Linked DNA regions of Saccharomyces cerevisiae S288C. The protein of the gene in region 1 interacts with the protein of each later gene in a biochemical or structural test. Each region holds a gene or a part of one and is shown in the gene's direction. Other genes may lie near its edges.

Region 1 (3,761 bases):
GAGATTTAATATGTCCTGCTTCAGATAATCCGAAGGTAAACTTGCATCCAATGTTTCCTTAACAAAGGGAATCTCAATATATTCCGACGAAGTCGAACCCAAACTATCTGTGACATCAGTTGCTGATGCTCTTCTTGGTCCCTTATTTGCGGTTTCAGAGACGTCCAGTTGCACACCCGCTACTCCCTCATTGACAGCTCTCAAATCGTCATCGTCAGTAATATTAGACACATCAGACTCGATACTGATGGTTCTAATCAGTCTTTGCGAGGAACGTTGGCGTGTTAACGAATGTCTTCTTTGAGAACTCGATCTGGACCTTGCTTGGTAACCGACCGAGTAACTTCTTACACTCCCTGGACGTGATTCTTGTACCATCTTTTGCTCTAATTTTACGTGCGTATCTATGTGTGTGTATTCTATAAGAGTACAAAAAAAAACTGTATATTGTTGTCCTAATTCTATAACTTTTCCATTTGGCTTATCCTTACTTACAGCCACAGAGCTTCTATTCTGTCTCTTCGAGATTTAACCGGCTGGGCCGACAAGAAAAACGGTAGAGCACCATGTGAATATTATACCATAAAGAACAAAGAACAAGAGAACGATCTGTTGGTGGTGTTCTAAAGTGAAGGAGGTTACCAATCGCTTAGAAGAAGACTGGCCTATGGAATTCATATCTGCAGACTATTCTAGCAGTGACGGTAGTGATACCGAGAGCGAAAGTAGTAACAAAAGTGAGGTCCAAATCGAATACACGGAGAAAACTTGCATACAGAAAGCCGATTCCACTGATTTACCTGCAATACCGGATTCAATTATATTGAAGTACCACATCCCTCCGAATTTACAAAAGTACGAGCACCAGGATATGAATATGAGTCGATTTTGGCGTTCGTTCACATATTTTGAGTGGCGTCCGACTCCAGCGATTCACCGACAACTTCAGAAAATCATATGTAAATATAAAGAAACATTTATGAAACAGGAATACACTAATCCGTATCAACTGGTGGATTTTGACCCGTTGTTCATCTCACACTTGGGAGCCCCCAAACCTTTACACGTTTCCTTAACTCGATCGTTGTTGTTTGAAACTGAAGAACAAAGACATGTTTTCATTCAAGAAATGCGTAATGGTTTACGAAATAATGAAATAACCCCTTTTAAACTTCAAATCTGCTCATATCCGAAGTTATATATATCAGAACGAGCCAACACCTTGTACCTCGGTCTCCCTGTCTCAGAATGTCCCAATAAGGCACAAATTTCTCCTTTCAAAACGATAATAGCTGAGGCACTTCAGAAATCAGGCATTTCAAACTATCAGGATTTAATTGTAAGTAGGCAAAATTTACATGTTTCAATTGCCATCGCTAGCAACCCTTCAAAAGCCACATTAAAACGTTATCAACAATTAAACGAGACGATGGGGGCGCTTTTACTACTCAATAATGACTTTGCATACAAACTAGAGTTCTTAGTTAACTCTATCTATTGTGATGAAAACCGTCACTCCATTAGAATCCCTTTTAACTAATAGTGTTATAGGAATAGCCGCCCAAAAATACCGGGGCACTGAGAGCGGCTCGTCAGATAGGTGAAGGTTGTCATAATATACGATATATATCTCAAAACGGCAAAATGTAAACATTGGCACTTTGGGAAAATTTCAGGACACTTTTGGTTTACAGGTAAAGGATAAGGATGCTTGTAGCTAGTAAATCAACTCCAGAAAGCATTTAGCCATTAACGGGCAAATATTAAGGAGGGAGTACTGTTTGTTTACTCGCAATATTTCTGTCCCTTTTCTTTCATTAAGGGTTTTATAGTACACATAAACTTATAACAACCTCTCTCGGCATTGTACCTAGCAAACAAAAGCTACGTTGCAGGGAGACTCAAGCAACAGTTAAAGTGCTAGAAGAAAAAAATACAAGGCATAAATTCAAGAAATAACTAAAGAAATCTATAGGACCAAAAACGGTGTTAATACAATCATGGATAACGTTGTAGATCCGTGGTATATAAATCCCTCAGGCTTCGCGAAAGACACTCAAGATGAGGAGTATGTTCAACATCATGATAATGTCAATCCTACCATACCCCCACCCGACAATTATATTTTGAATAATGAAAACGATGATGGCCTCGATAACTTGTTAGGTATGGACTACTATAACATCGATGACCTGTTGACTCAAGAGTTAAGAGATCTGGATATTCCTTTAGTGCCTTCTCCTAAGACGGGCGATGGTTCTTCTGATAAAAAGAATATTGATAGAACTTGGAACCTTGGTGATGAAAACAACAAAGTCTCCCACTATAGCAAAAAATCAATGTCCTCACACAAGAGAGGTCTAAGTGGCACAGCGATATTTGGATTTCTCGGCCATAATAAGACATTGAGTATTTCCAGTTTACAGCAATCCATTCTAAATATGTCTAAAGATCCGCAACCCATGGAACTCATAAATGAATTGGGTAATCATAATACGGTAAAAAATAACAATGATGACTTTGACCATATAAGGGAAAATGATGGTGAAAATAGCTATTTGAGCCAAGTTTTGTTGAAACAGCAGGAGGAGTTAAGAATTGCTCTTGAAAAACAAAAGGAAGTGAACGAAAAATTGGAGAAGCAGTTGAGAGACAATCAAATACAGCAAGAAAAGTTGCGTAAAGTATTAGAAGAGCAAGAAGAGGTGGCGCAGAAGTTGGTTTCTGGGGCTACAAATTCTAATTCCAAACCTGGATCTCCAGTAATACTAAAGACACCTGCCATGCAAAACGGTAGAATGAAAGATAATGCTATAATCGTCACAACGAACTCTGCAAATGGCGGATATCAATTTCCTCCTCCGACGTTAATATCGCCTCGGATGTCAAATACTTCAATAAATGGTTCACCATCCAGGAAATACCATAGGCAACGATATCCAAATAAAAGCCCAGAAAGTAATGGATTGAACCTTTTTTCCTCTAACAGTGGTTATTTGAGAGATTCTGAACTGCTTTCATTTTCTCCACAAAATTATAATTTAAACTTGGACGGCTTGACTTATAATGACCATAATAACACCAGTGATAAAAACAATAATGATAAAAAAAATAGTACTGGTGATAACATATTCCGTCTGTTCGAAAAGACTTCCCCGGGTGGGCTAAGTATCTCTCCAAGGATAAATGGAAATAGTTTGAGATCGCCCTTCCTCGTCGGCACAGATAAAAGCAGGGATGATCGATATGCTGCTGGCACGTTCACGCCTAGAACACAGTTGTCACCTATCCACAAGAAAAGGGAATCCGTAGTTTCCACGGTCTCGACAATATCACAACTGCAGGATGACACTGAACCCATCCACATGCGAAATACCCAGAACCCAACATTAAGAAATGCAAACGCTTTAGCGTCATCAAGTGTACTACCTCCTATTCCTGGTTCCAGCAATAACACTCCAATTAAGAATTCTTTGCCACAAAAACATGTATTTCAACATACTCCCGTCAAAGCTCCACCAAAGAACGGAAGTAACCTAGCTCCGCTTCTAAATGCACCGGATTTAACAGATCATCAGTTAGAAATTAAGACACCCATACGAAATAACAGTCACTGTGAAGTGGAAAGCTATCCGCAAGTACCACCTGTCACACATGATATTCACAAAAGCCCCACTTTGCATAGTACGTCTCCTTTACCAGATGAAATAATACCTAGGACTACGCCAATGAAAATAACCAAGAAACCAACTACTCTGCCT
Region 2 (3,761 bases), on another chromosome or scaffold:
GCAACGTTGGATTTTACCACTAAACCACTTGCGCTTACTGATTATATCTTAATGGTTGAAGAGATCTGAATAAGTTTTATCTTCCTCTGGGCAAAGAATACTATACATTGCAAGAGTACCCATTAGAAGGGAATTAATTTATGCACTCTAAATCTTTTTTGATTATTCCGGATATTATTTTTGTTGATAATTAGAGGTAAAAAATAGTATTAATGAAGAAATAAGTATTGATCTTCTTATACTAAATAAGAGAGGTATATAAAACACACGCCGATTGGTCATATTAATCATGACCAATATAATAGTGATTCCGGTAGTTACTATACATTGATGTGACGACTCATATTCCTCATATATGTACCTACCATATCATGTTCAACTAATAGATTTTAAGCACAGCTTCAGTATTGTCTCAGCTTCTCGTTTAACATTCCTTCTGCAATAGGTGCAATCACACTTAAACGTATACGAGGTGTACATTAATATACGATGTAAGCATTATATTGTTACCATAGCAACTCATGTCACTATTAATTACTCTCGTTCCAACAATTTTGTATTTGAAGCTTTAACGGGTGTTAAATGCACAGCCGATACGGCTCATCCGAAAAGTAACGCCAATTATATTAACAGCTTTTCCATTTATTTAGAATGGCGATACAACGGAAACATACGAATATGATAGTACTCAATTGTTGTGTTGGAATAAAAATCCACTATCGTCTATCAACTAATAGTTATATTATCAATATATTATCATATACGGTGTTAAGATGATGACATAAGTTATGAGAAGCTGTCATCGATGTTAGAGGAAGCTGAAGTGCAAGGATTGATAATATAATAGGATAATGAAACATATAAAACGGAATGAGGAATAATCGTAATATTAGTATGTAGAAATATAGATTCCATTTTGAGGATTCCTATATCCTCGAGGAGAACTTCTAGTATATTCTGTATACCTAATATTATAGCCTTTATCAACAATGGAATCCCAACAATTATCTCATCATTTACCCATTTCTCATGTTGTGTACACATTATATACCTCCCAGTTACTGTCAATCCTCTCCTCTTATATCGTTTCAATACAAATAATATATTATGAAGGGCAATATTACATCATTACCCGGAGATATATACTATTTGGAATGATCTTTCTTTATAAGAAAAAAAAAGAATTTCGCAGATTTCCCTGGCTTTCCTTATTCTTCCTACGTTAGCATTATTATGAATTATCGCTAATAGCAAAGGCAAAAAAGATTATCAACTGCAGGATATTCGGTCACAACTTTGACATAGATCTTGAGAACCTCAACACTATTCATTTCTCTGGCCTGATTATTTTAAGTAAAGTCAATCATTGTTAAGTTTTCTTTTGTTCTTTTCTATCATTCTCGCTCTTTCAATTACTTACACCTACAATAATAGACGTTGACCTGTGAAAGGCAAGAAACTTAACTAATAGTATAATTAAGAAGAAGTTAACATTTTACTCTACATTATTGAAACCGCTCACTGACTTCAAAAATAGGATAAAAACATAATATGGAAGGAATTTTGGATTTTTCTAACGACTTAGATATCGCTCTATTAGATCAGGTGGTATCTACATTCTATCAAGGTTCAGGTGTTCAGCAAAAGCAAGCCCAAGAGATTTTGACTAAATTTCAAGATAATCCAGACGCTTGGCAAAAAGCTGACCAAATTCTTCAATTCTCAACTAACCCTCAATCAAAATTTATTGCCCTTTCCATCCTTGATAAATTAATTACTAGAAAATGGAAATTGTTGCCGAATGATCATAGAATTGGAATTAGGAACTTCGTTGTTGGTATGATTATCTCCATGTGCCAAGACGATGAAGTATTTAAAACACAAAAGAACCTGATCAATAAGTCGGACTTGACTTTGGTCCAAATTTTAAAGCAGGAATGGCCTCAGAATTGGCCTGAATTTATCCCAGAACTAATCGGCAGTTCAAGTTCCTCTGTTAATGTTTGTGAAAATAACATGATCGTTTTGAAACTGCTATCCGAAGAAGTCTTCGATTTCTCTGCGGAACAAATGACACAAGCTAAAGCTTTACATTTGAAAAATTCCATGTCAAAAGAATTTGAACAGATTTTTAAATTATGTTTTCAAGTTTTGGAACAAGGTTCTTCAAGCTCTCTAATAGTGGCAACCTTAGAATCTTTACTGAGATATTTACATTGGATTCCTTATCGTTATATTTATGAAACCAATATTTTGGAATTATTAAGCACCAAATTCATGACATCGCCTGATACAAGAGCCATCACATTGAAATGTTTGACTGAGGTTTCAAATCTAAAAATTCCACAAGATAATGATTTGATAAAAAGACAAACTGTACTTTTTTTCCAAAATACTCTACAACAAATTGCCACAAGTGTGATGCCCGTGACTGCCGATCTGAAAGCCACTTATGCAAATGCTAACGGTAATGATCAATCTTTCTTACAAGATTTAGCAATGTTTCTAACTACATATCTCGCTCGTAATAGGGCCCTTCTAGAGAGTGATGAATCGTTAAGAGAGTTGTTGTTGAATGCGCACCAATACTTAATTCAATTATCCAAAATCGAAGAAAGAGAACTATTTAAGACGACATTGGATTACTGGCATAATTTAGTAGCAGATTTGTTTTATGAGGTTCAGCGTTTGCCTGCTACCGAAATGAGCCCATTGATACAGTTATCAGTCGGTTCACAAGCTATCTCAACTGGATCTGGCGCCCTAAATCCGGAATATATGAAAAGATTTCCATTAAAAAAACATATTTACGAAGAAATTTGTTCACAGTTGAGATTGGTCATTATTGAAAATATGGTTAGACCAGAAGAAGTCCTTGTGGTTGAAAATGATGAAGGAGAAATTGTTAGAGAGTTCGTTAAAGAATCAGACACTATCCAATTATACAAATCAGAAAGAGAGGTTCTTGTATATTTGACCCATTTGAATGTTATCGATACAGAAGAAATCATGATCAGTAAATTGGCAAGGCAAATCGATGGTTCCGAATGGTCATGGCATAATATCAACACTTTATCTTGGGCTATTGGTTCCATATCTGGTACAATGAGCGAAGATACTGAAAAAAGGTTTGTAGTTACTGTTATTAAAGATTTACTAGATTTAACGGTCAAGAAAAGGGGTAAAGATAATAAAGCTGTTGTTGCATCGGATATTATGTACGTCGTGGGCCAATATCCTAGATTTTTGAAGGCTCACTGGAATTTTCTAAGAACAGTTATTTTGAAACTTTTTGAATTTATGCATGAAACTCATGAGGGTGTTCAGGATATGGCATGTGACACATTCATTAAGATTGTTCAAAAATGTAAATATCATTTTGTTATTCAACAACCCCGTGAGTCTGAGCCTTTCATCCAAACAATAATTAGGGATATTCAAAAGACAACTGCTGACCTACAGCCGCAACAGGTCCATACATTTTACAAGGCTTGTGGTATTATTATTTCTGAAGAAAGAAGCGTAGCGGAGAGAAATAGATTATTAAGTGATTTGATGCAACTGCCAAATATGGCTTGGGACACTATAGTGGAACAATCCACTGCTAACCCAACATTGTTGTTAGATTCTGAAACTGTCAAAATTATTGCGAATATTATAAAAACCAATGTAGCTGTCTGCACCTCAATGGGAGCAGATTTCTATCCACAGTTGGGTCACATCTATTACAATATGCTTCAGCTATACAGAGCTGTTTCTTC

What was found. The genes of interacting proteins can lie anywhere in the genome.
Region 2: the proteins of ACE2 (region 1) and CRM1 form a complex in vitro, tested with the Saccharomyces cerevisiae proteins (2 studies listed by BioGRID, with this or other methods).

Annotation. Positions count from the first base shown.
Region 1 is NC_001144.5:405,062-408,822, reverse strand, and holds the start of ACE2 (DNA-binding transcription factor ACE2), read left to right. Parts: upstream 1-2,000; coding exon 2,001-3,761. Other genes in the region: bifunctional choline kinase/ethanolamine kinase CKI1, read right to left, coding at 1-378; USB1 (phosphoric diester hydrolase), read left to right, coding at 668-1,540. UniProt on the Saccharomyces cerevisiae protein: Plays a role in regulating basal-level expression of CUP1. Activates EGT2 transcription in the absence of SWI5.
Region 2 is NC_001139.9:930,990-934,750, forward strand, and holds the start of CRM1 (exportin CRM1), read left to right. Parts: upstream 1-1,551; coding exon 1,552-3,761. UniProt on the Saccharomyces cerevisiae protein: Receptor for the leucine-rich nuclear export signal (NES).